Styela clava: one gene and its partners. The protein of the gene in region 4 purifies or fractionates together with the protein of the main gene of each other region. This does not show direct contact. Links are inferred from orthologs where the notes say so. Each region holds a gene or a part of one and is shown on either strand. Other genes may lie near its edges.

Evidence for each region.
Region 1: the proteins of valine--tRNA ligase-like (region 4) and elongation factor 1-gamma-like purify together in Homo sapiens (affinity purification with mass spectrometry; 6 studies listed by BioGRID and IntAct, counting the BioPlex papers as one, with this or other methods). This does not show direct contact. The link is inferred for Styela clava from reciprocal best matches to the Homo sapiens genes VARS1 and EEF1G.
Region 2: the proteins of valine--tRNA ligase-like (region 4) and elongation factor 1-delta-like purify together in Homo sapiens (affinity purification with mass spectrometry; 5 studies listed by BioGRID and IntAct, counting the BioPlex papers as one, with this or other methods). This does not show direct contact. The link is inferred for Styela clava from reciprocal best matches to the Homo sapiens genes VARS1 and EEF1D.
Region 3: the proteins of valine--tRNA ligase-like (region 4) and elongation factor 1-beta-like fractionate together in Homo sapiens (co-fractionation; 3 studies listed by BioGRID, with this or other methods). This does not show direct contact. The link is inferred for Styela clava from reciprocal best matches to the Homo sapiens genes VARS1 and EEF1B2.

Annotation. Positions count from the first base shown.
Region 1 is NC_135261.1:11,231,353-11,238,663, reverse strand, and holds the start of elongation factor 1-gamma-like, read right to left. Parts: upstream 3,020-7,311; 5' UTR 2,904-3,019; coding exon 2,745-2,903; intron 1,666-2,744; coding exon 1,564-1,665; intron 738-1,563; coding exon 642-737; intron 1-641. Other genes in the region: uncharacterized protein LOC144430572, read right to left, coding at 4,616-4,734, 5,078-5,254, 5,445-5,630, 5,702-5,878, 6,436-6,612, 6,996-7,140. UniProt on the Homo sapiens protein: Probably plays a role in anchoring the complex to other cellular components.
Region 2 is NC_135255.1:3,748,368-3,756,032, reverse strand, and holds the start of elongation factor 1-delta-like, read right to left. Parts: upstream 3,012-7,665; 5' UTR 2,915-3,011; coding exon 2,777-2,914; intron 2,064-2,776; coding exon 1,983-2,063; intron 1,856-1,982; coding exon 1,703-1,855; intron 1,621-1,702; coding exon 1,426-1,620; intron 628-1,425; coding exon 535-627; intron 169-534; coding exon 67-168; intron 1-66.
Region 3 is NC_135263.1:4,633,634-4,641,255, forward strand, and holds the start of elongation factor 1-beta-like, read right to left. Parts: upstream 3,014-7,622; 5' UTR 2,935-3,013; coding exon 2,855-2,934; intron 724-2,854; coding exon 601-723; intron 1-600. UniProt on the Homo sapiens protein: Catalytic subunit of the guanine nucleotide exchange factor (GEF) (eEF1B subcomplex) of the eukaryotic elongation factor 1 complex (eEF1).
Region 4 is NC_135254.1:12,253,342-12,260,547, reverse strand, and holds the start of valine--tRNA ligase-like, read right to left. Parts: upstream 3,020-7,206; 5' UTR 2,927-3,019; coding exon 2,787-2,926; intron 2,689-2,786; coding exon 2,493-2,688; intron 1,974-2,492; coding exon 1,830-1,973; intron 1,130-1,829; coding exon 933-1,129; intron 434-932; coding exon 271-433; intron 1-270. Other genes in the region: gap junction alpha-3 protein-like, read right to left, coding at 5,415-5,730, 5,933-6,069, 6,462-6,586, 6,849-6,879. UniProt on the Homo sapiens protein: Catalyzes the attachment of valine to tRNA(Val).

The DNA of each region.
Region 1 (7,311 bases), on a different chromosome or scaffold from region 4:
GCATAAGAAAGTTAATTATCGTCATAATAAAAATCTGCATCTCGGTATCGATAATATTACCGCACGCTTAAAATTCGGACGGTAAATTTACAAAAGTTGATAAATAATGAAGACCAAAACCAACGCAACCTGTATAAATAAATCCTCGCAAAAAACAGAGAACGGGCGGGATCCAACTTCAGGATATCGCCGTAAAAACCGGCCAATGAAAAAATATTCGTTATTCGTTAAAAATATTCAAATCATTCGATTCGAAAATTTTTTCGATTTTGCCCACCCCTACTTAAAACCATCTGTAAAGAGCAATTTTTCTGTGAATTTCAGACCAAAATTATTTGAAAGTCATCAAAAGAAAACTGAACTACCCAAATAAAAACTTTGTATATCTCATCAAATAATTTGATACCGAATGTCATAATATGACCCATCCCATACTTCCTGTTTATTTAAGAATAGAATAGGGCATCAGTAACAAGTCTTCAACTCTAGCAATCATTTGAAAAAATCAACACACCCTATTTGTTACTGTGTCTTGATTTTATAAATGGAAAAATGAAAAACAGTGATAACTAAAATATTCTCACATCCCATTTAAGCATAAATTATTTTGTGGTGTAACACTATACAACTCTTATTATTACCTGTTTGTTAAACTGAAGAATTCCTTTGGTCGGATATACCCACGTGCAGGCTGCAGGGAGAATAACATTGTCAGCTAAGCCTATCCATTGTAGTACCTAGAATAAGTCGATTATTTGAGTTCTTGAATAGTGAAGGCTGGGGAATGGTATATTGTTCCCAGCATTGGGAAATGTCTGCCGCTGAACCTCTGATTACCCTGCATGGGTTTGCAGGTTCGAACCCAGTGCAATTAAACAAATAACTGACAAACTAATGATGGCTCGGCAGTGTGGCACATCATGCTAAACTTTAGAAATACGCCCGCCATCGCACCTAGGATTACTTTGCGTGGGTTTGCAGGTTCGAATCCTATGCACGCAAGGACGGTTATTTACAAGAGGATTGCTGGACTCCTCGCCGCCGTAGGGTGGTTGATGAAACCATTGGTCAATTACGGCTTCTTTGATAATGCCGTCTTATCAACTTTCCTATCCCCAGGATATGTAAATCCTATCCTGATACCATATCAAACATGGTCTGGTTACCGAAGACAGGCCAAGGCAAGTCATGTGATTATGCCATCCTATTGACTTTCCTCTCCCCAAGGGTGAATATGAAAATCCTATCATAAGCAAATAACCTTCATCCTCTTAGTAACATTTGATTACTGTATGACAGATAGATGTATAAATAATGATTAAAATAAGGTTGAAAATATGTTCCTGAATACGAAATTAAGAAAACAAATTTTGAAATCCAATTCATTTAAATTGTTGAAAAATATGTTTACTTCAATCCATAAGTAACATAGCCGTTGTTGCAGAAAAGAACTAAACGTGCATGCATGGCAATGGATATAGTAATATTGCAGAATTTTCCAATATTAAAATTGTAGCTTGATTTTGAATCTATATAAAAAATTAGGATGCCAAAATTTCTTACTTCTGCCTCTCTGTCTCCACCTCGGGTTTGTTCGTTTCCAACATAATGAGCAATTCCGTTTGGTTCAAATAGCTTCACATCACCACATTCAAATGCTGGAACCTGTTAAGATATCAGTGCATGCTTTTCAAAGGGTTTAAGTTAAGAATGATGAAAAGTGTTGCGGAGGATGAAAAAATTACTATAATTATTGAGACTTAAGAAAGTTTGAATGGAATTAGTTTTCGCTTGAACTGCATTTAATGACAATATTAAATATTTATAATAATTTAGAAATGTCGGAATGTAGGTTATTAAGTATGAAGAAAGTTTGAATGGAATTAAGTTAGTTTTTGCTTGAATTGAATTTGGTGACAATATTAAATCTTTCTAATAATAAAGTAATGTACCGTAATAAATATGTTTAGGGTCTGGTATAGTTTCGTGCCTCAATTACCGGTACTTCTGATGGGCGTAGAAAACACTTTTTGCATATGTCAATACTAACCCCCACCTGACTGCGTCATGCAAAAATTACGTCACAGTGACGTAATAAGGCCCTTCAAACTATACGAACTGTCATCCAAGACGCGCGCCTAAAATTGAGCTATGTATTTCTGGGTCTCGTGTAGTTTCGTACCTAACGTATTTCTCATAGGCGTAGCATAACAATTTTTTGACATTGCAATCCTAACCCTCACCTGACTACGCCATCCAAAAATTATGTCTCTACGACGTCGCAATCACGTCATAGAGCTTGTCAAATACTCGTATGATCGCCCGAAATGGCATCGGCGCCGACGATAAAGAACTGACTAACGTCAGCGATCTCTCTCCTATCGGGATCGTTGCGACGAGAAAATGAGAAAAATGGCTATTCGATTTCGGGTTCTCGTCTGCGCGTCTTGGATGAGAGTTGGCATAATTCGAAAGGCTCTATTACGTCACTGTGACATAATTTTTGGATGGTGTGGTCAGGTGGGGGTTAGGATTGACACGTGAAAAAATTGTTATGCTACGCATACTAGAAGTACCTTAGGTAGGAAACTACACGAGACCCGTACGGTACCGTATTTCTCTCGTCAAACAGTCAGTCGAAATGATCCCAATACAGCAATATCAGAATATGGGAAAGATCGATAGACCCGCTAAGTTAGCTAGACAATGACAAAAAAACAATTAAAGGATCTTCACCGTCCTACCTTCCCAAACGGAAACTTCTTGAGAAATTCCGCCGATTTATCTGTTTCTCCAGCAACAAAGTTTGGATAGACATTAACTGTCTTCCCGCTATATTGAGCAGCAATCAGGATCTTGTGTGCCCGGAAACTGTCGGGAAATGTATATAGTGTGCCTGACATCGTAAAATAAACTATCCAGAAGTTCTGTACCCAACCAAATTTCGAGATTTTAACCAAAATCGCGAGAGCCGTCAGCGTGCAAAAGTCGGACGTCCACCATGGACAAAAAAGGAGTAAAATGACACGCGGTTTTGTATACGTCATTTTATTCTCCGAATGTCACTACCTGACAAACACTTAGATATACTAGGTATTTTAATTTTATTTTGGAATGTAATTACCTGATATTATTTTACTATTTACTTATTATTAAACACGAACTGAACCTATAGATCGTTTTGTTATTAATAATATTATGTTGTTGTTAGTATTCTGAGTTTTTTTGTTGTTGTTGTTGCTGTGAAAAAATCATTTGTCTTTTCAACTACTGATTCGATTTCTTGAAAATTTTTAATGATCTAAGATTGTTGTTGTTACTAGGAGGCCATTCTGTTATTTGTTCCTATTTATTTATTTTCTATGAATCTTATGAGAGCTTATATTTCGTTCAAAAGTTTATTTATGGGAACACTGTTTTTATTCGTCCAAGCGTGACGACGCAGGAGTTGAATTTGTTTATTGAGGTGTAAGTTGTAAAAGTTATAGGATACGATTTTCGGAGGAAGTGTGTGTAGAATATTTTGTTTTGGCTTTCTTTCGGTGGGTAAGGTTTTTGAACCAGGGGTCAAAAATTTTGCCCACCTAGTCTGGCGGGCAATGTAAGTGTGATGTAAAAAGTTACATTTTATGAACATTATTTATAGTGTTACAAAGCAAAGGTGAAAAACATTAAGCCTCCTAATAAGACTGAATTTAATCGCAATTTCAACAAATTCCTTGAGTTATTTTAGCTAAAACATCAAAATTTGTTTTTAGTTTGGTTGTCACAGCATCATGCGGGCCAGATTGAATTAACCAACGGACTGGAGTTGGCTCGTGGGCCGTACTTGGCCCATGTCTGGTCCAGACCTTTAGTTATCACGTAAAATTATCTTGCTTAGTTTGATTCTATATAAATTTTGAAAATCCTGAGCGTGTATTTTTTTACATATCCGATGAAATTAGAAGCATTCCCGTTTGAAATTGCGTTTATCACTGAAATGAAAGCCCATTTTTTTACATTAATTTGTGACTTAACGTGTAACTGAAAAACAAGGTGGGTCACTTGTTACCCGCTGGTCAATCGCTCGCCATTACCATATATATATATATAGTCTTAATTGAAAAATACCGTACTCCTAATCTACTATTATTCTGAAGTGGACGGCAAAGTTTATGTAGTACTTGACCAAATATGCACATTGACGGTAGTGTTGCGCGTTGCGCCTAATAAATGCTGCCTTAAACTCCGTGTTACATACATCCGTGCTTAGATATTAATAAATTGATGAGCAATTTTTATTTTATGCATTTAAAATGAGGTCGTTCGGGGGTCCAAGAATCGTTCATGAGCTCAGTTTGCCGTCCACTGCTCTACTAGAGTCAAGGCAATCTTCTCAGCTCGGAGCGCAGGGTATTACATTCGGTACGTGAACTGTAATTCTTGCGCTAACCGGAACTGGAGAATACAAATTCATACTCGCGAGTCCAATATACCGGTATGTAGGCCACCGTTGCATGATTATTTATTTAAAGGTTCAGTACAAATAAAGCAAATAAATTCAAGCGTTTAATACATTCACCACATAATTATTCGTGTCGTGAGATCTTGATTTAATATTGAATTGCATTTATTAGTTGATAAGACTTAGCATCCAGTTCAGCCAAGTTCGATTATCGCCTTGCAGAAGACTTCGTTTTACGATAGGACGACGTGGTCTGGAAGGTCTTCTCCAGTCTCGTCTCGACGAAGCTACAATATTGATAAACATTTGCCAAATTCTTCGTTCAATTCAAGCAGAACTTGAATCAATTGATAATTATAGTTATCTAATATACCACTAAAAGTTTATATTCCATACGTCCGGATGCTTATGCCACAAAACTTGATTTGGAAAATTCTGTAGACGACACGTATTTTGATGAATTCCATCATTTGTCATTTTATTACGCCTTTTATTTTCTAATAATATACAATGTTCCAGTTAGAACCAAAGCTAAAGTTCATGGACTGGACAACACGCATTTTAATGAGTCACATGTGGTTCAATCCAGTATTGTTGCGTGACTTAATATAACCCATTAAGATGACATACCTTTATTGCATGTAAATTTTGGCGTTGTCCACTCTCCATTTGTGCAATAAACCAATGTGCGTCCCCGTGGTTCATGACCACGTAAGCATACATACACAACAAGTATTTGTTCTCTGTTGAGTCGCCTTTGTATAGTTGTGCGAGCGTTTTCTACGGACGGTGGATTTTGACAACCAGCTGTAAACATGTATATATAACGTGTTATGCTTTCATGACTAGTAGGGCGATGTGATCAAATTTTCCTTTGACATATTCAGAAGTGATGCTTCGGCCCAGAGAACGTTTCTTTCTGTCCTTCTTGCTCTTTTCGTTATTTTCAGTAAATCTCTAAATTTTACAATAAATTCATAAAATATTTGGAACTTACCGTGGCATGCGAATTCAGGACTTTCCCACTCTCCGTCCTGCCCACATTTTATTCTTGGTATTCCACTCAGTTCGAAACCGTTTTTGCATCTGTAGTAAACATATTGTCCAAAGCGTATCTGTCTTCTAGTGGACACAAATGATGTTAATACGGCGTTTTTAACAATGGTTGGTGCTGGGCATGTTCCTAAACACAATACAAATATAAAACATTAGTTAATCGCATTAACGAACCTAAGTATATAAATGGCTTTTTACCTGCACAAACAAGGCGAGGTTTAGACCAAGTCAAATCATATTCGCATCGTGAAAAGGCATGTCCTCTTGCTCGGTAGCCCGGCTTGCACGCATATTTGACAACATCGCCAATAAAATATCTCTCTTGTAATAAAGGAACTTCCGCATTTTTCACCGGAGGAGGCATTGGACACGAAACTTGAAAGAAAGAATAAAAACAATATAATAATTTATTTTAATCTAGAATGATCGAAAGACTTGGATGGATATCATTAAGATTTCTTGCTATGGTATAAATTAATGTAGTTTCATCAATCTTTAATATTTGGTAAAAAGGAGACAAAAGAGAAAACATATCATGTGGGACATCTGAAAATATAAAAAGTCATCTCAAGTAAAATTTTCTTTAGTTTTTGATAGTTTTTTTCTTCTTTTCGTTCATACTATGTCCATTTCTAGTTGCTATACTTAAAAAATTTGGACTTCTTCATTTTTCCATAGATATGTCTGCTCTTAATTTTGAGTAAGGTCTTATTCGCAATAATATTCATAATTCAAGTTTAATTTTATCTTTCCATCGCGACGAATTTTGGATTATAATATTTGTTCACGAGGAATCCAAAATTGGTGGGCATATTTTATTGCATTCGTATTATAAGAAAATATAAATAAATATAGTTGTTCGTTTTAGTAACATTGTAAACCTTTTTAATTAAATACATTGCTATATGTGGATATAAGTAGAGGAAGCTCACCAATACAAGTAAACTGTGGTTCTGAAAACTGTCCATTTTCTTGACAAACAACATGATTAGTTCCATACACTCGATACCCGTCTGTGCACTGATATTGGACAAACTGTCCAACTCCATATGATCTTACTGGATCAATCACAGAGGCATGATCAATTTTGGGTAATTCTTTGCAGCCGACTAAAGATTGTCAAGAAATTCACACTGGATTATTTATTTTATAGATAGTATTATTTAAAGGTATAAAAAGTTTTGTTAAATAGCATTAAAGACTCTGAGTTTATTGCCAACAAGTATCTCCAAAACTTACGTACAACGTTTCATGAAAAAATGATGAATGTATAAAGTAGAGAGGTATGTTTTCGATAAATACTTACGATTATGTACTTATACGGAAACGTGGAGAAATGTGAATTAGTTGTTTAAATTCGAAGGACATTCGAAGCTGGCCTTCCCTGTTGTATGCTGTGGGGCCAAGTCGAACATATATCCGACAGTTTGGTATACCAAACAATGTCATTTAATGGTTTATTTATACTAATGGAACTTTTGTTTCTTATTACCTGGAGCCATTTTGCAGGTAAATTTGATCCCATAATGACATGGAACGTCATTCCATTGTCCGCTTCTAAAATACAGCATGACGACACAGTGTTCTAAATCCTGTAACAAGCTGTTCGGTTGTCCTGGTCGCCAATGTTTGTAGGTCTACATGAAAATGAGTGGGCGCGTTGGATACAGTCAGCCAGGAGGTAGTTTATTTTCCCGCAAACCAAAAGTACACATTGGACAAACGTAATTGAGAAAGATAAAAAAATGTATTGAAGGGAAACGCGATAAACCAGAGATGGTTATCGAGCAGCGTCACCTTTGAGGCAG
Region 2 (7,665 bases), on a different chromosome or scaffold from region 4:
AGGTTACCCAAGACTTCCACCACTCACCACCCTGCTCAAAATTGAATTTCGCAATAACAAACTCACATGGTCCTCATGACGAGTAATTTCCTCCTCAAGGAAGTCTGTTCCAACTTTATCATCTTCAACAATGCAATTGATTTGAAGTTTCTTGATTCCAAACGCAACCTGCGAAATAGTATATTCTGTACCATTATGATGTTTCAAATGAGCTGAACTAGGCTGCATTTACCGATATGATTGTGCTTGCAACAAACAATGCATACAGTCTCAATATTGTTATGTCATCCAGATGGAAATTTACCAATCAAAAGAATACTTATAACAACTACTTTAGGCATATCGTAATGGCAATCATCAGTTGGTTACAGAGTACTGTTATATTCATATTATACAATATTGCTTTTATAGTTCCACAAACATTAAATTGAATCGTCGTTATAACTAATAAGGTAACACATCAATTGGGCCTCTACTTCAATGTATCTAGCTTGCAGGGAGCAATTCAACTACATAGCAAAAATCTTATACAACCTCTACTAATTTCGATGCTGCCCACTTCAATCCATCTGTTGAGATATTCCTCACAAGTCTCTCCACTTCCCCCATGTCTGTTTGATCATCCCACTGTTAATAATGAAGGTAAGAATTCCTAATTAAAAGGAGACCAATATCACAATCACAAAAGTAGAAACAAGCTCTACGTTCTTTTTATAATTTGTTGTATTTACACTTCTGCTGCAAACAAGGCTATGAATCAGTTGATCTCAAACTGTGGGCGCGTGGACAATTTTTTTCATTATTTACGTTAAATCCACGTATTTTCAACGTTTTTTTGCGCCAACGCGCCTTATCATCAGTTATTTATTTGTAGCTGATTGTTAGCTACTGTAGTTATTTTCGAGGTGGAGCACGAGACTTCACAAATTCCTAAAAGGGGACACATTTTCAAGGTGGAGCACGAGACTTGACAAATTCTAAAAAGGGGGCACGGCTTCAAAAGTTTGAGAACTGCTGCTCTAAATACAAGCCACACATGGGGTTGACCCTAACATCATTAGTCTTGGAAAGTGATCACACTTAAATTCCCTAGTTGCCAAAATATATAGGCCTGTATTGCTAGTAAAATGAGCAACACAAGATCTAATTGATTGCACAAATGGTCCAGTGACATATAAACAAGTACAAAATACATTTATGTAACCTAAACATAAAAGCTATAAACACTCAACACTGTTCAATATAATTCCATGATAATATATAACACCTAAAAAAGTATAATATTAACAAACCACCCAATAACACTAAATGTCAAGCAACATACAATTCATTATGCCAGACAACACATGGTCCTTCCAGTACGTTCTGGATGCTGGAGTAGGTGAAATTCTCATTAGAAAAACCTAAATAATAAGTGAAACTTACAGGTTTGACATCGAGTAGAATGCTAGACTTTGCTATCACAGCTGGCTTTTTAGATTTTTTTTCAGCATATTCCGCCAATCTTTTTTGTTTTATTTTTTCATATTCATCGTCTTCCTCAGAGTCAGATGCGAAGAAATCCATGTCGTCAACATCATCGTCAGATTCTGATTTTTGCTCAATTTCGGTTTTAGAAGGCTATACTTGCATTAAACAAACATAAAAGAAGGTAAATTGATGTTCAGCAATTTGCAATGGACCAACTCATACAATTAACAACCTGCACGGCAGTTTCTTTACTGCCAGACTCTAGTTTGCTCAGTCGTGCTTCCATCGCATTCATTCTCTCAACGAGGGTGTTCACCAACTTCCTCAAATCATCATTTTCACTTCGTATTGCATCGACTTTCCCAGAGTCATTGCCACTAACTCCCTAAAATATAGATTTATATGAAAGTTGGAATAAAGGGTCCTAGTTTTGATAAACAAATTTAATAAATATAAAAAAGTATCAGACATAACTACTATAATATGGTAATCTAAAAAAAACTGCAACATACAGTATCAGATCCCTGTAGTGTTTGATGTATTTTTTGTCTGGCTTGAGCAATTTGTTCTGCGACACCTGAACCACAAGCACCCTAGAATTTCATATAATTAAAAGTTAATTATTAGGTCTATAATGATACCACAGAATGAAAAGATTTTCAAATTTGCACAATTCATGCATAAATATTACAGTATTATGAGACAAGTACCGGTAATATTTGTAAAATCTGAATTACTTTGAAATAAATTATTTCATAAATTATTAACACGTAAGTCTGTAAGTGGCGACTTTTACAGGGTAATACAGTAATATTTTTATGACCTTGCATTACTGAGATGAGAACTCAGACAACAGGTCGAGGATGTTGGTTGGGGCTCAGGATGCTGGGTATGAGTAAATTTAGTAGGGTTCAGACAATTGTGTGATTATCAGAGCATGGTTGATCAGGGTGATTTATTAAAATTACTAGTAATGCTATTTTTTGCTTTGTTTTTCGAATTAAATCAGATATGGATGATGCTTTGACTAGGCTATCATTTATTCAAATAATAGACTAAATATTAAAATTATGCTTAATTCGCCTCAGATATTGAAAAAAATAAATCAGGCTTAATTCACCAGAGAGATTTGACTTAAGAGCAGTACAGACTTGATAATTTTGAATGAGATTTAAAGTTAGGTTATAGGCTAACACAGTTTCATTTCGATTATTTTATCAAGTACATGAAAACGTCCATATTTCAAAAACAACTACAAAACCATAGTAAGCTACCACCACCGCTATTAAAATACTATCACCATCACCCGTTTGTCAGCTTTTGCTGCTGGTTTTACCCGTTGTTTCGCCATGTACACTTCATATTTGTATTCTTCTTCTTCAACCTTTGGTCGGTCAAACCAAACATCCGACAGCAAATGTGAAATGGGGACGGTTGAAGGCATTTTATAGACAATAAAATCAAATCTGATCCACGAAATTAAGAAAAGTTGAAGGATGGAACAGAAACCAAAATCGTGGAAACTGACGAAAATCAGAAGGTGAAAGGTCATGAACACGTGAAATGAAGCATGTTACCGGATGTGCTCAGAGCACCATTACTGCAATATCCGGTGAACAAAACAACTGAAATTTCCAGTCTCTGTAACTCTATCCACCTATATATAATTTTATCTCGAGCTTATAGGTATATTTACTTCTCTAGTTTAGCGTTCCAGATACTTGAAATTGGAAGTATACACTATTTGGAAGGAACAGAATATTTTATGCTCTGCATAACCTACCCAAATTATGCAAAATTTCCTCATACTGAGGGTTATTTATCGTCGTATCATTTGTAATAGATGTTAGTGGAAGGTGTCACTTAAAAGAAATGCCCAGTGTGTTATATTCTCTCTTATACCATATTAGGACTCATTATAGAATATGAATTTCATATTTATAAAATGAAAGGGGAATGCCAATAATACGACTCAACAATATTACGAATAATGCCCTCTCGTCCGGTTACCAGTCAATAGCCGGCTTGGGAGTAGTTTCCATAGGCGTAGCCTGTAAATGAGCGCCCATATAGCTTGGATAACTTCGACAGAGAAATAAATCCGTGGCGAGATTCTTTAAGATGACGTTAGGTATCAATGGCTGCTCGTTCCTGAGCTTTTCGTGGCAAAAGGCGCGACTAAGCGTCGTATTATGCCATATTAAACCTTTCATTCGTTTCAGTCTCATAGACTTGATTGTACGGAAAGCGTACTTTTCAGAGGATACATTAGCCAATGTTCGACGATATTGAGTAAGGCGATTCTCTCGTACATAATGATCCCCCGTGGTATTCAAATCTGTGAGTCCATACAGAACAATCAGAAGTGCGACGACGAGAGTGTTCCCAACGCTTAAATCAACTTGATTGCAATTTCTTTAAAATCCACGTACTTGTGTTAAATACCCGATGGGTGTGGCGATATATATATATATATATAACTCTATTACGGTAGTTAAACGGACCTGCCATAATTGCAGTACTTAAGCGGACGTCGTTCCTGTGTCTGTATCATTGTTTTTAAATACGTACTTGGAGAGCGCGAGAGCCGTTGACAACTACAGAGAAAAAGAGTCAACACAATCCTCTCGATAACAGATATAAAATTTTTGTCCGCTTAATTCGTCCACTTAATTCAGACCACCAAATGTTTTAGCCTATTTCGGCACTAAGCCGGACCCCTCTTATATGTCGCCCTGGATGTCTACATAAATGATGCTGCTTTTATTTTATTACGCATTTTAAAGCGTATGACCTCGCTTTAATTTCCGATGGATGCGAACCATTTAGCATTATTTATCACAGAAAATAGCATTTTTTTTCAATGTTCAGTATTTTGTGCAAGGGAGAGGCACTGTGTTTGGTGTTAGAAATAATCTTCCATGTCAAAAAATACTCAAAATGCAACGTGAAGGTAGACAAATCGAAACAAATTGATTCAAACGTAATATATATTTGAAACTGAGAAATACACAGAGCATATCACAAATGTTCGCATATTCCAACCCTATGGTGTAACATATAGATTAAACAGATGCTATGTTGTGAGTGTCACAAACTTTATCTCAAATGTCCACCTATCCGGCCTTTTAAGTTATCCAAATAATTGTAAATGGGAATTCTGGTATGTCATTAATGAAGACAAAAATCACACAAATTCGATTTCAAATGTTCATCTATTCGGTCACTCAAATGTGGCACGTAATTGAAAAATGAACACCAGCCCTATTGAGAAACATTACACGAAATATATCTCAAATGTCCACTTATCCGGCATTTAAGTGTGGCATATAACAATTAAAATAAAAATTCTGAAATCATATTGAGAAATATTACAAAAAGTATATCTCAAATGTCCACCTATCCGGCCACCTAAGTGTGGCATACAAGAATTGAAATGAAATCTCTTAAATCATATTGAGAAATATCACACAAAGTATATCTCAAATGTCCACCTATCCGGCCACCTAAGCGTGGCATACAAGAATTGAAATGAAAATTTTGAAATCCTATCGAGAAATATCACACAAAGTATATCTCAAATGTCCACCTATCCGGCCACCTAAGTGTGGCATAAAGCATTAAAATGAAAATTGTGAAATAATATTGAGAAACATTACACAAAGTATATCTCAAATGTCCACCTGTGTGGCATAAAGCATTAAAATGAACATTCTGAAATCATATTGAGAAATATTACACAAAATATATTTCAAATGTCCACCTATCCGGCCACCTAAATGTGGCGTACAAGAATTAAAATGAAAATTTTGAAATCATATTGAGAAATATCACACAAAGTATATCTCAAATGTCCACCTATCCGACCACCTAAGTGTGGCATAAAGCATTAAAATGAAAACTCTGAAATCATATAAAGAAATATTACACAAAGTATATCTTAAATGTCCACCTAAGTGTGGCATAAAGCATTAAAATGAAAATTCTGAAATCATATTGAGAAATATTACACAAAATATATTTTGAATGTCCACCTATCCGGCCACCTAAGTGTGGCATACAAGAATTGGAATGAAAATTCTGGAATCATATTGAGAAACATTACACGAAGTATATCTCAAATGTCCACCTATCCGACCACCTAAGTGTGGCATAAAACAATAAAATGAAAATTCTGAAATCATATTGAGAAACATTACATAAAGTATATCTCAAATGTCCACCTATCCGGCCACCTAAGAGTGGCATAAAACATTAAAATGAAAATTCCGAAATCGTAATGAGAAACATTATGCGAAGTATAAATCAAATGTCCACCTATCCGGCCACCTAAGTGTGGCATACAAGAATTGAAATGAAAATTCTTAAATCATATTGAGAAACATTACACAAAGTATATCTCAAATGTCCACCTATCCGGCCACCTAAGTGTGGCATACAAGAATTGAAATGAAAATTCTGAAATCATATTGAGAAACATTACACAAAGTATATCTCAAATGTTCACCTATCCGGCCACCTAAGTGTGGCATAAAACAATCACAATGAAAATTCTGAAATGATATTGAAGAACATTACACAAAATATATATCTCAAATGTCCGAATACCCGACTACCTAAGTGTAGCATACAACTATTGAAACCAATTCCTGAAATCATATTGAGAAATCTTACACAAAATATATCTCAAATGTCAACTTTAGTGTGTGAAATATAACTAAAATACGAAATTTCGAATACTAATTATATTTTGATGTTGTGGAAAATTGCTCAAAATTTATCTCAAATGTTCACCTATCCGATAACTTGAGAGTGACAAATATTATAAAACAAAATTTTGAAACCATATTGAGGAACAATACAGAAAATATATCGCAAATCGTCATCTACTCAGCTACGTAAGTGTGTCATGTAAATGCAAAATGATATTTTGGAATGACAATAATATTAGGAAGCATTCAAAAAAAATTTCAACCATCCGACCATTTCAGAAGGTATGTAATTAAAACACGAAATTCTCTAAAAAAAATATCGAGAACCATTACACACAACATATCTCAAATGTTCAATTAAGTGGCGTTTTCAGTGGGGCCTATAAATGCGAAATGAAATTTTGCCATGTCAACTAAAATGAGAAACATTACACCAATTATAACTCAAATGTCTACCTATCAAGGCGCGCCTAAGTATAGCAGTGATTATACAGTCAACTATACAAGCGATCAACATGAAATTATTCAACCCCGATATCAATTTTGAATCTTTGCACAATTTATTTAAAATTTTTGCACCAACTCGGAATACAAAAACATGATTGTTATTTTGAATTTATAATTAAATAGTAAAAATGTATGCCAAGTATGTATACGAATGTGGATATGCCCACTAGATTAAGTTGTTGAGGAGAGACAAAATTATGTGCTCACTGCCGGTTCATCTTTATGAATTATACAGAGATGTCTTGAAGCTTTACAATAAACTTCTAGCAAGATATACAAAGCCGTGCAATTATTTTTCTTTTCGTCGTTTCTTTTCTGGTTCACGTTTATTTAGAAGCTTTTTTTGGAATTGATTTACAGCCCTTTTCTTTTCCGTATATATGAGTTTCTTTTAAGTCACTTACATTGCTTATTGAAAGTGATTCTGAAGATGGTGCGGTATAGTCTGTTGACTAATCTGAAACTTTGGTCAAAAATACATGCATAAGTCACAAAACATCATCACAGTGTTCTAGTCCAATTCAGAATTACGGTACTCTTGATTGACCGAACAAACGAAGTGTTTGAAATGGGGAATTGCATTATTACTCAAATAAAACAGTGGGGGCTCCCGAAGTATGCGAACCAAGATGGCGGACATCGCAATGTAATATGTGTACTAGGTTAGGGTTAGGCCATAATTCTAGGTATAAATACTACGGGAGGCTCTTGGCTAGTCTTCGAACTGATAATAGGACTAAAATAAGGAAAACTGGAAAAAAATTATCGCCTAACCCTAACCTGTTACCCATGTTACGTTCCGATGTCCGCCATCTTGGTTCGCATACTTCGGGAGCACCAAACAGTGTTTTTAAACGGTGCACTACAATTATTCGTAGATAGCTGCGCTATTTGTGATGGGCTACAATTGATATTATGATTTGGTTTATTACCATTCATTGGTATCAATTTGAGATACCGTGTTTAATTAAAAACA
Region 3 (7,622 bases), on a different chromosome or scaffold from region 4:
TGCGAGCCGCTAGTTTACAAGTTATCAATCCATTCACATCATTTTGATGCATCAACAAACATTGCCACCACACTATGTAAGGGCGAGTGCAGGATTCCAACTACTTACACTGCCGCTGGATGTATGTAGACCGCACAATACAAAATTTTATTTGATTCTCAGACTTGGGAGGGTATAACACTACACCAACCCTATGTTGCTGTGCACTCAGTCCTATCGATCCAAATTATTATCTCAGCATGAAAAGCTTTGTAAATAGGTTTCATCACTGTGCACTGGGGAGTGAGGTGTGATCTGACAGAATCACCAGTCTTTCAATCATAATACCATTATCCCGACCAGATGCGCTTCGATTTTCAGTGGGGTCCAAATTGCCCTAAGGTGTCTGCAGCAGGATAATCATAGTTAGGCACACTTTACAAACGAAGCTACGGTCTCAACTTACAAGAAACTTCGGGTTGAAAATACTTAACTATTGACCATCAAATTTAATTAACAAAACTTTTGGCATATGTAAGACTTCTTTAATAAAATGCTGAGAACGATAGTAAAACCAATGTTTTATGGATTATAGTAGAAAGTTTTGACTGTTTTACCAACCTTCCAAATTGTGATTTGTATGAGAGAACATGATTGTACCAACGTAACGCATGAACATGCTTGGCATTGGGTGGGCCGGATATACTTTCAAATATGGCAACATCTCCTTGTGATGGAACATACCTAAAATTTAAAACAAATATCTTATTTTACTGTGTGAACATGTTGGTAAAAAACTAAAGGGTCTCGTGAAGTAAGCGTAACTGCTTGAATATCCGCAAACACAAATGCGGTGAGTACTTCGATAACGCCAAACATAAATGTGATGTGAAAATAGAACCCAGATTTTCAATTTTTTATAGAAATGAAAGTCCGTCTTGCGCAAATTTCACATCACATTTTAGTTGGGCGTTATTTAAGCAGTTACGGTATGGTATCTACTTCACTCGATCCAAACTAAATGGCAATACCGGTAATGTAATACCACCTTGCAAAATTTAATTACAATTCAACTGCCAGAAAATAAAAAGATAGCTGCAGCCCCAGCAGTTTTTAAATTAGGTCAAGACAGGTTTCCAGATGTATCAAACCCATGAGGCCTTTACTTCCTCATACACTAATTACAAATCATAAAACGCAGGAAAAAGTTTTAAATGAATGTCCAATAACTGAATAAAGTTCAAAAAATCTCAATACAGCAATACCGTAAAAGCGCCTAACTTCGGACAGTTCCTAACTTCGGACAAAATTTTTGAACGGCCATATCTTGGCTAAAACGCGCCGTATATTGGTAATTTTAATTATTATAGGTTGCGCTGTTATATCTACATCTATTCTCATCTTTTTTAATGTTGCATTTTTATTTTTTTGGTGAAAAAACGGAAATTTTGCCGAAAATTGACTGCCCGCCATTCAACGGCGCAGAGCGTCGCTCCTACTGAAGCTATCCTCGTCAAAATACCATCATTCGGTAGAGGGCGACAACAATGTATATAATTCATTTGAGTGATCGCAAGATGTCGTACGAGATTTAAATAAAACCTAAAATTCTGAATTATAAATTCCGTAAGAATATTAAGATTTCACGCAGCGTCAAAAATTACGTCAAACTCACGTAGATTATTTTTCGCTCACTTCCGACACGACGTCACACTGCGTCGCGGAAATGAATTTTGACGCCAGACACAACGGAGCCAATATGACAATTTCCGTTAAGATAAAGACGGCGTTCCAATGTAATATTTTTGTATTTTGTTCGGTCATGTATGAATATATGCCAAAATTACATTAATGAAAATACATGTCACACTTAATCGATGACGTTAAAAATCGAATATATAAAACTATGGAAATTCCAACGTCCATATGGCACAGTGCACTGACTCGACCATTATTTTATGATTAGTAGTCGAAATGACAGTTATTGAGGCCTGGGTGAATTTTATTCACTCGAAATTAAAAATAAATTTAATCTCCAACAAATAAACGGGACCTACATGTTTACAAGATTAAGTTGAATTTTAAATTAAACTTCACAATCGGATTTTCCGTGTGTTTGATATAAATTATCATTTATAAAGATAACCGCGCAGAATAAAAATATTAATACTTCAAAGACTTCGATAGAAGCCCGTTAAAATACTTCATTGTGGATTGAAACGGTTTGCATCAGATATATTTACGTATGCATTTCCTGATTAAAATGACTAACGTGTTATTATACTCATCTGAAGTATCGAAAATGACGAACGAAAGATGTAAACATAGGACGACGGAAGTTTCAAATAATGCATTTTCGTCGTGACGTCAATGTTACGTTACGACGACGATCGAGCGTCTTATCTTCACGCAACGACGTGATTACGTCATCCGCATCGGAAGCCTCTTTCTCTCTGTGCGTCGCGGTTACGCAGTGAAGAAAATGACTGTCCGAAGTTAGGGCAGTGAAGGATAACGGTCAGATGGCAAGAAATATCGATTATTTCAATAGTAAAAATAGTCCAATTGAACCGAAATTTGCAGGGAATGTAAATTACCGCACGAATTTGCAACGTTTGGACAATAAATGGCCGAGTTATTGACGAAAATATAGTAATTTTGTCCGAAGTTAGGCGCTTTTACGGTATGGGAAGATAACTATTTTTTAGGAAATGTTGATATTTTTTATATAGAAATCCGTATTCATTGTAATCCCTACAGTATTTGCAAGCATGAATCCCAAAATATGTTTAACTGTTCGCGTATGACGTCACTGCCCTGCCCACCTTTTTTATGCCCATTTACACGAGATAATTTACAAAAAAATCAAGCTCACCCTTCGATATAGCTTTTATCTTCGAGATAGGTATTTAGTGCAGATAATCCACAGTCACTCTTCAAATTTCCGAAACCCATTTTAAAGAAATTACGGCGATTAAACAAAAGAAGAGAACGAAATCCAAACCAAACGCGTGGCAAAATTTGGGAAAAGGGTTCTTCAGTGAACACGGTTCATTGCTTTGCCGATAAACCGTGGTTTCGTGCCACGAAACAGATTTTGGGCCGAATTTATCCAGAAAATCAATGACATTAAACAACATGATGCGCAACTCCGGCATTTTTGTCCGAAGATCGTATTCGATAGCACGCTCCAATGCACATACTTGACGAGACGAAAACGAGCGGATGTGTGCTGCTTTCAAGGCGTAGCACGAATGGTGTTCGTGCCTGCTTTGACAGTTGTTGTCGATTTTAATGATATTTTGGAAAGTTAAGGTAAAAAGAAATCGGAAAAAGGTAAGGTAAATACTATTGTTGTATATCACACCCGGGCATCGCACTGTTAAGTACATGTGGGAAAGTCAGCCTTTGTCAAATACTACGAAGTTATACATGCAGTACGGTACGTGGTTGCCCATTTGCCGAAATTACATATTTACTTACCCCTTATGGTTTCAAATAGTTCATGCACCTCCAGTTAGATTTTTTTAATCAGTGAGGATATATACTCATTGTTGATTGCTGCTCATTGTAACATACTATTGCGCATTCACTTTTATTTGCGTATTGAATCAAAGTGTTAACAAGTCCACCTAACATTTCACTCATACCGGTCTATATTGTATAGTCTGATCTCTCAAATATTTGGAGCCACGAATGCTTGTAATTTTCTGACTAAACCCTTTTATTAGTTTGTTTTATTGACCAAATTCAGTAAAATATTTTTTACATAAAACATGAGATATTGGATTCATTAGCTTTTCCATTCTAAATCATATAGACTGCTTTATTTATTCTTAACGAAAATTAATAAATCTCCTCTCTTTCTTCAGATGTGAAAGTTGTGGACAAACCTGTCTAAGCATTGTGAGACTCCTGCAGCACAAGAGGCAATAGCAGAAATAGTAAGTATATCAATCAAGAAATTAAGCCGACATAAAGCAAAACTTTCAATTATTCGTCTAATCACAATTTCCTATTATTTATTCACAGAACAACTATAGCAGAAGGGGAGATATCAGAAGTCTGGCGACATATCAGTGACATGCAAAGACATTTGACCCTCCGGTAGAGTTGTGTATGACCCCTACATCCTGATTCCTGCAGGGCTTGAGGAAAATAACTAAAAATTGCAAAGCGTAAAATTACATACTCGGTCTTATTTGTAAAGAGGCACAAAACACGCCAGACATACTTGAAACAGCTTTGGAAAATGAGGATTACGGGTAACTCACTGCACCTGTGTTATATTTGGTTCATCACCTTTTGGTAGTACTATAGAAGAAATTCCGGAAGGGGTATAATCATCATTCATGATAAAATACTATCATATATATTTTTGGACAACTTCAATCTAGACCAGAGATCTCAAACTCGCGGCCCCAGAGAACTTCGAGTGCGGCCCTCGAACGCTTAACAATAATTGTAATAGTATTTTTATTTTTTTTTTATCTAAATGTAATAGATTTTTCAAACCTTTTAAAGTGAAATTGATTATTCACACAGAAAACAATTTACTGAAAGTAGTTTTGGAATATGAATTTTTTTTGTCCACATTTTGACCCAATTAAGAATACACATCAAGCTTGCAAAAGAATACTTGAATAAACACTTGAGTGATTAAATTAAACGCAAAGTACATGAAGAAGGTGGCATTTTCGAAGAAAATGGGAGTTGTAACTTTTCTGCTTTTCGCAAAATTGTCATATTTCTATCAATACAATGAAAAAACACAATAAGCTCAGCAGTCAATATGACAAATTCGAAGACCCACTTCGAACAGAAAATTTCCATGTGTTTGTATATTAATATATTTATACAACGACTTAGTTACTAAAAATCAATATCAATAATAATTCAAGCAATCCTATGCCACGCAATGTGGTGCGAAATGTCTTGTCGAAAAAATCTGTCATTTGTTTTTTTACTGATCTACAGTATACATGAAATGATAAAAGTACTTTTTTTGCATTACTGGAATTGATTAAACATTCGCAAAGATCCAGATTAACCCATGATCATGTGGCCTCGTTAGTTAGAGTTGGTACTATAAAATCATTTCAGCCTGGCCTTAGTATGCTGGTGACACAAAAAAGATGCCAAACGTCAGGACAAATGTAATTATTAAAACATTGAGTTTATACTGTAGTATTTTTGTTAATTTTAGGTTCATATATTTAGATTAAGTTATTTTTAGTGTATGTATTATTCTTTCCTTATTTAAAGCTTGTTCAAAAATGATTTTGATGGTTGTACATAGAATTTTATGATTTTTCATAATAACTACAGTAACTTGCAAATGTTGCAATAATAGTGGAATGCAAATATTAATATGTAATTGCATTTGAAATTGAAGAAAATAATAAAACTTAATCCAACTGTTTAGTTGCATCACAATATATGTCACAAACTAAAACTATCTTAAAAATATCTTTTAAGTATACATTATCAAAAACTGTTTGCGGCTCTTTTTACAATTTCCAAAATGCAATGCGGCTCTCGAAAACCCATAAGTTTGACACCACTGATCTATTCTAGACGATTCAAGCATTGCTTTGGGAAATAATATCACTTCAATTAAATTGAAATAATCTCGCTATATTAAATACAAAATCGTTGCTATCATAAAGGTAAACCAATTTAGCCACTCGAAATATATTGGCCTTCACAAAACAATGGAGGCAAAATTGAGAGTTCATGAGCTATGAACATTTGTTCTTTTCTTTGTCTTGAACTTTTCATACTCCACAGCCCCTATTAATTTTTTTTAATTTTAATTACCATGTGATGGTCATACATATCTTTAACTTGTATTTTCTGTCATGATGTATTATCTCAATGTGCCAAACTATTAATTAGTGTGCATATTTTGCTTCCAGATGACATAAATGTATTGTCTTGTTTATTACCTCAACTTGGAGTATTGACAAGAAAAGGTACCAGTAAATTAGATAAAAAAAATTTTAACTCTTTGTTATAATCAGAATTCACAATCAATAGGAATTATAAACAGCCAACCATCAATGAGAATGATATGTGAAATCCCTCATAATAAATTTGTCTAAAATCGGAGGAAGGCAAATAATATAGGTAGTTTCCATCCACACAAGCATTTCAAGAAGACTTGCTCGAGCCAAACTAAATGAGCATCGTCAGGTGGTCGGTAAGGCTGCAAGTTGAATTCAGCCCTGCAACCTACCGCATAGAAAATAATATTAATTAGTGGGCTATGAGCTAAATTCCTAAATTTAAACAAACCTATCTACGATGCATTATGTACCAGCAATGTTACCTACGATTAACTGAATATGTAATATGTCTAATAAATTCACCTACAAAAGCAAGTTCGATAGGTGCAAACTTTGTGTTATGGAATTGTATCACAGCACAATTTTGTATGACACCCTCCTAAAAAGAAACTTCAATGATTAAGCGCAAACATTAAAATTACTAACTTTGAACTTTGTCATTATCTGCAAAATGTTCCACACAAATCTTTCCGCTATCGCGTTTGTAATCTTCTCTGATAAAAAAAAAACGTCTATGATGTCCAGAATTGCTCTTTACAGCTTGCCTGCCATTCCAGCTTTCCAAGTGAGCAAAACTTCTTAGATATAGAGATTATTTTGTTTCGTTACAGACGCAAAAAGACAGGTACTACACGTAAAAAAGACGCCGAGTAGCAAAAGCGAGCGGAAAACGGACGCGAAAGTCGACGAGAAATATGTGCATTGGAGCGTATCATGAAATACAATGTTTCGCCTGTAGTCTTATGGAGTGACGTCAGAGTTGCCTATCATGTTGTTTAACCCTTTCCATGCGATTTTTATTTTTAATTAAATAATCGTATTTGCTACGCCGATTTTACGCATTTGTACCCCCACAACTAATCGATCGACTAACGAAAAACTAATGATCCTCTGCTGCCCACTGACGGCTCGTTGGAAATCTTATTCAAAGAGCTTGCAATTGGCGATTGAAAAAAAAAGTTTTTTTAAAAGTGGTGGTCTGAGTCACAACCCGGATAGAAAAAAGGCATTTTTTTTTCCTTGGGAGTTGAAACTTCAAACCGTGATAAAAAATAGAAATATTCGCTAAATCCTTTACTGTTACCGTTTCGTGGTTGGCAAACAATAGCATAATATTGCTGTACCAATTTCGTGATCTAACTCAAAATACTTTGGTAGATGGAATGGATAATATGTCTTCTATTACCACCCAAAAAACATCGAAATTTGCATAAATTTCAAAAACACTCCCTCGTTCCGCCGCAAATAAAATTCCCGTCGTAAACGAGAGCGAGATTTACCGTCGCTTATGTTAATCTCGAAGAAGACTTCTTATCAATAAACTAAAACCCGGAAAAACTAGACCAACAGTTTGCGACCGATTGCTAAAGAAAACAGTGGAGTACATCAACGTACCCGCCGCAATCTAGCGACTTTTGTCGTTGGTACGTATACGTGCCCACCGCACGGAAAGGGTTAATGTCATTGAGAAAATGAAGTGTATATGTACAAAGCGATTATTAATGAAAATTGCAGCAGCAATATTATAGATTAGTTTACTCTATAAATTTAAATATATAAGATGGTTATGCGTTA
Region 4 (7,206 bases):
CAATCTTGTGTTCATTCAGTTATCAAGAGTAGTCTTGAAACTGAATTTATATCATTGGCAGAAAATGTTCAGAGCCAAATTATAAAACCTGCCTATGAATTCTTTTTGAGTAGTACTGTTAGAAATTGTTTCAATTGGCATTATAATATCAAGAAAAATAAGATAGGCTTTGGAAAAAAAGATATCAAAATACAGCGAAATTTTAGAATATACACAAATTTGGATATATTTTTCTTCACTTAAATGTTTAAGCAACTTTTCAATTATCACCTGCTGAGCTTTTTTCTGTTCTTCCATTTTACTCTTCTTTGCATTAAATTTCTCCATTTTCTCTCTCTTTTTCGCTTCCTTTTTTAATTGAGCTGCTGATTTAGGTTTGTCTCCAGCACCAGAGTTCTCATCATCCTGGTTTTTAGAATCTTTTGAATTTTCTCTAAAAGGTTAAAAAATAATACCTTGGCCTTTATGCAAGAATTTAAATTTGCCAATACAAGAAGATAGGGGTGCTCCCGAAGTATGCGAACCAAGATGGCGGACATCGGAACGTAACATGGGTAACAGGTTAGGGTTAGGCGATAATTCTTTTCCAATTTTCCTTATTTTAGTCCTATTATCAGTTCGAAGACTAGCCAAGAGTCTCCCGTAGTATTTATACCTGAAATTACGGCCTAACCCTAACCTAGTACACATATTACATTTCGATGTCCGCCATCTTGGTTCGCATACTTCAGGAGCCCCAAGATAGGATATGTTAGCTTGGTGATAATAGCCTTTTAGTGTTGAAAACTTTAGTACAGCTAACGGATTTATAGAATGAAAATAAAATCTGAGCACCATTTGTTTGTAACGAATATTATGGCATCCTGCAGTACATAAATAATGGAAATTTGTCAGCGGATAGGTAAGCTAAAAAATTAGATAATTAACATTACTTTTTAGGTTTATCTTTCAATGCCTTAATTTGTTTCTGCATTTCTGCATATTTTTTGCCATCAAAAACTTCTGCTTTTTCACAAATTTGAATTTCATTATCTTCTTTGAGGACTTTACGAAATTCTGGTTGGTTTATCACAGTTGTAAACCATCTGGTCATATTCGGATATGGTTCATATGTTTTCTTGTCCAATACCTACATAATAATACCATAAATCTTATAATACAAAATGAGTTAGTGATTCTTGAATTCTGGATTTTAAATTAGGTGTTGCCAAAACCGAGTATTTCTGTAACTAATTTTAGTCAGCTGAGCAAACCATACTACACATGCAGTCTTTATTAATAACCAGGATAACTCATTAATGTTTATAAACAGATGTTGGATACAAACAAATATTTTATAACATAACTATGTCTTTATTCTTTAAACCAACATTTCCATTATGATGCAAAATGCTTCAAATATGGCATCATTATTTCAAATTTGTGAAACAATAAGACTTGAGGTAACTAGATCATGATGAATGAGAATCGGGATACCAGAATATTTAATTATAAGGACAACCAATTATGTTAATTTGAAAAGTTGGGAGTGAAATCAATGAAATAAACTAAACATTTTTCTCAACATTACTGCATGCCTTTGCACCAAGAGATTCCTAAATGTATAATGAATAAGTTGGTATAGGAAGTATGAAAGAAGATTTTTTTAAGTGATTTAAAACTACAAAATATTTTCACTACAGTCAGATGAAACTTCAAAGAACTAAATTAGTGTTAGGATGCAGCAAACACATTCAATTTCATTATTACCTACGCTTCCAATATTGAACTAAGACTCCAATAATTAAAACCATAATTTAACAGATGAGTAGCAAAACAAAAGTACTTACCAATTGTGAAGGTAGATACAATGCAGCTGCACAAGCAATATCAGCTTGAGTTACTCTGTCACCAGCAAGATATGTCCGAGTTTCCAGATGTGAATTCAAACACTTCAGCGCATTTTCTAGGTCACTTTTTGCTTTCGCGAAATCCTGTACAAATACACAAAACCACGAATATAAAAAAATATTAAATACAATGCAATAATGACGAAATTTAATAACTGATACAAGATATAAAAAAATGGGTCTGATATAGTTTAGTACCATTTCTAGTAGGTGTAGTCTAGCTACGATCGCTCAAAATGGCAACTGCCCATTTTGGGTGATCATCTGCCGTTTCAGACGACTGTCCACATATTTTGACAGGCCTTATTACATCACTGTGAGCTGTAGTGATGTAATTTTTGGATGACGTAGTGAGATGGGAGTTAGGAATCACATATGCAAAAATTGTTGAGCCACAATCACTAGAAGTAGGCTACTTGTGGTACGAAATTCTACTAGACATGGAAAAATTATATAAAATATTAGGCAGCACAAGGTGCAAATATATATTTTAAAATGTGACAAACGAAGTAGTACAATGAGAAGACATAATATGCTTGGACTAGAAACACCGAATTCCCCATAAAATCATCATTAGGACTGGTATATATGAACACGTTTTACCTGTTTATTATAAGATTTGATGCCAAGAATAGGAAATGTCCAGACGCTTCCAGGAATATAAAGTTCTACATCTGCAAATTCAATCCATTGATAAACTGCGGATTTTTCAAACTCATTGTCTCCCCACAAACTTTTTGATGAAACAGATCGACAAATAGCATTGTTTTCTGTGAAGACAATGCTTCCTGACTCATACCTTTGAAACAGAATATTTTTTATACGCCATTGATTACTGGATTATAGCCAAGAATTTAGACAAAATATCTGAATATATATTATAGCATGAACCATTACCTTGGAACTGGTTTTCCTTTAGATTCAGATGATTCAACTTTAATATTCACTTTGCTTTTGCTGAATTCAACTGCAGCAAGTATCTTGGTGCAGAAATAATTTTCAGAATTTTCAGGAAATAATACCGTTCCAGACATCATCAGAATAATAACCAATAAATTATCATTTGCCAATACCTGAACACTGAAAACCAAAGATTCAAATGCTGAATGCAACTTTACCTACTAACGTCTGACCGCACGTACCGGTACCGGTACTGCAGTACTGTTAGACGACGTTCAGACGTTCGAAACCTCAACTTTCAAAAATTAAGTCTAGGTAGGAACAATAAAATGAAGTAGCCTAGGTGTCGTTATCAAATTTATAGCATATATTCTTTTACCGTGTATTTGAATATGGCATTAGGAAGTAACACAACACATACACACAAATGCATTAGACTACGAATCTACGATTAAAAATTACGTTACAAGTGCAAAATTGTGCTGTACTGTAGATTTCTAATTTTGTGTGACACATGTCACCCATAGAAGGTCAAAGGTGAACCGTTGGGTCGGAACCAACGACTAACATAACGAACGGAAGAATAATTTACTTACGCTTAGCATACATTAATTAACCTATAAGAAAGTTCAAATATTCATTCTAATACACAAGCAAAAAGACGTAGTACGTTATCTAATTTTTTTTCATGTGACTGACGTTTCGTCTTCCGAAATGAACGCCGACACAACTGATATATCAATATACAGTATGCTAGCTAACATTGTACGCAGAAATTATATACCACATTCAAAATTACCTAATATATGCACATTTAGGAATTGCACCATAGTCCCAACTGAATGACGAAATATAGCATAATATTGTTGTCTGGGCAAACCACTTCCCTAAAATTATCCGCTTTCATGATACGTGGTGGTGCAATGCACACAATACCGACTCGACAGCGATAGCTTGTGCACTAGCAGCATTTATCGGGATATTCCCCGGTGTAGAATCCATATTGATTCCCTCGTATGAAATACGACATAGTTTAACTTATCTTATGCTATATGTAAATCCTTTATGTAATACTCGATGGGAGTAACGCAAAGTTCAAATCACCAGTAGTATTTTATTGTGGAAAGTACAAAATCCAGATACAATAAACAAGTCAAATGCAATGATTTTTAGTTGGTAGCAGAGTTAATGAAACCAATAAACGGCAATTGTGTGTTAATTATGCAGCCTTGATTGGCCCTCGTCGACGCCGGGTGGTTCACGCAACTGATGGAAGATTAAGTCCCCATCCGCCCCACCTAAGTCCACGTATCCGGAACAATTAACTGGCTGGCTATTCCAATTCTAGATCAGTGTCGGCTAAGATATGAGAATATTTTGTCTGGCCCGGGGTTAAGTGAGGTTAAAGGTGCTTTCAAAATAACATGAAGCACTTCGCTCAACATCTCTTGTTACGTAATTATTTCAGTTACATCGACTTGACGGTGTTTCTTTCTGTAATAATCTTTACGCTCAAAAGCATTCTTATTCCGAGTGTTATATTATTATCTCGTGTACAGTTGAAATATCCCTTGATTACTCAAATTGCATTTTTCTTTTATCCACTCGTACTATGAATTACTTGTTTGTATATATATATATATATATAACTACATCAATGTCGTGTATTTTCAATGCTTTAGGTTTGAATCGAAGAATTTTAGAGTCTAACTAGAATTTTGTTTGTCTGGTAGTTGTGGAAAAGCTTTAAAAAAATTTTAAATTGCCAAATATAAATTGGATAGAATATTATCAACTTCAATTTGCCTCAGAATTAAAATTATATCAATCGCCCAATTGCAATGGGAATTTTGCTTTAATCAATATCTACAGACATTAAGATAGGCTTTCAAGCAATTGTGATATAATGCTATATATATAAATTTATCCTGTTTCTAAAGACTCTTTTGATATTTATATATGTTTCAAGGTTTTGAAAATTGATTTTTGATCCAAATCAGGAACAGATCTGTTGACTGTGCAAACACTCAAGTGCCTGAATCGTCATGTGATAATTGAATATACATCGATTAAAGAATAAATATCTTAGCATCGACAACATTTTGTATTGTTTGCTTCATCGAATAATGGGCGAGTAGCCAATTACATGAAACCAACATGCCATCATATATGCATATAACATATGCATATATATTATAATGAATAATTAACAGATCTTTCAATGCCGTTAGGGTTACCATATTTGAAAAGGCAAAATTCCGGACAGTGCATGACTATTTTCATGACCTCGTAGTAAAAAATATGCGCATGGTACGAATACCAATGTTCTGTATTAGCAGTGTGCACAGTACGATTGCAGATGCAGTAAAATTCAGGATTCCGGACATTTAGGCATTTTTTAAATTCTTCCCGGACGCAAAATTTAACCCTAAATTACGGACATGTCCGGAATTTTCCGGACGGTATGGCAACCCTAATATACGTACTAAAAAGACTATTTGATAGTTGCTTTCAAATATTCCGTAAACCAGGAAAAAGGTATCAAACAAATCTATATTTGGGGTTGCTAGAACATGTTGTTACTGCAGTACATATATATGCTATAAATATAAATGTACAGAAATTTCAACGGTAGCGCCTTCCTCGTCGGAACCTTCTACCGTATGGCAAAGGCCGAATATTCGGTAAACCCGATGCATTAGGATATCCCTCTATTTCATCTTCCATGTAGTCAGCACCGGGAGCCCACTCGTTGTAGTCGTAATCATCAATACCACCGAAACTGGGCCCTTGGTCAGCGTGTTTGGTAATATCATCATCCCTCTCTTTCCATGCTTTTGAGAAATTCCCTGATATGTGATAAAGTTCCAACAAGTTCAGCATGACCATGATGCAACCGGTTCCGAAAAATACGCAAATGAGAACTGATTTCTCTTTTGGTCTGTAACGAAATTTATTTTTATATCTACTAATCGAACGAAATATTCCAGAAACTGTTTTCGTGGATGATCTGTTTTAAATTCTTTTGAATATAAGCGCAGACGATTGTTAAAACTTAATTTGATTTTATTATGTAATACTATTTGATTAAATATTAACTTGGTTGTGCTTTGCATATTGCTACAAGATAATACATCACTCACCTCCCAACAAAGCAATCAACGACGTTTGGACAAGGCCAATGTTGACACTGCCACAACTCGGGTACCATGAATTTGAAAGTATAAAGATAATACTGGCCAATAGTAAAACCAATTTCAACTATGGTGCGAGACAAGACCTGAGAAATATTTTGCACAAAATAAGAGGATGCGAATTAAAAGACGACATAGCATATTGTACAAAAGCGATGGCGTAATAAACGTCACGAAATGGAGAAAGTGTTTGAAATTTTATGTGTAGATGGTATATAAACCAAAATTTTCAGATACTTTCGCTTTATTTTATACTCTATTAAATCAAGTTGAAATAATTATCATGTTTACGTCTCGATGACATTGTAGAGTTAATTAGAGCATCGTCATACACTTTTCATAACATGCCCTGGATTTTAACTAAATATGAATTTGTTGTCAAGTTTTATAGTCGTGTCCCGTTCAAAATAGAGGCATGTAATGAATAGAGTGTCTTATTATGAGACTTCACATTGCTTAATGAAGAAAGTCATCTTACCACGAAGAAGTAAGCAAGAAACAATTTTGATGGTGCATTTACGGAGAGTTTTGTCGCGACGATTTCTTCATCCTTGTCGTCATCATCATCGTCGTCGTCTTCGATATTTAGGTTGTTTTCTCTTGCTAAATTTGGAAATAATATGTCAAACGAACAATAATCAGATGGAATCATATCGCGAATGCGAAATGTTCAAAATACTGTTCTGCAGTGAGATAAGAAAAGGAAGGTCAAAAGTAAACCTACAATACTATTCAGTTTAAACATTATTATTCAATATTATCTTCCGAGAAGTAAAACGATGATGGAAATCATTAATTATTAATATTTTAGTTTCCATCCCTCGTACAAAACTTTTTTCTGCTATAGACATTTTAAAATGCCAACCTTCTATTCCTTCCGCAATTCTTTTCTTTTTCTAAAAAAAAAATATTTCATTAATATATTAGAAAATGGTTCACATATAAGTATCAAGTAAAACTAATAGAAGGCTGTTGATCCTAGGGTTTTGTGAATTCACTAATTAATAGAAATGTGTATATAATAACCAAGTATCATACTATGCTGCTATAATGTCGCATTTAAATCGAACTTAGATACTTATTAGAGCGATGTTTTAAAAGTGCTGGTATCCCAATTTAAAAATCTCTTGTTTAATTCCCATACATACCACCTCACCCATGGAGTTTTGTAGGCTATCCCAAACCGTGTTGATGAATTGAATGGGAAAAAATGTTGTTGTTTT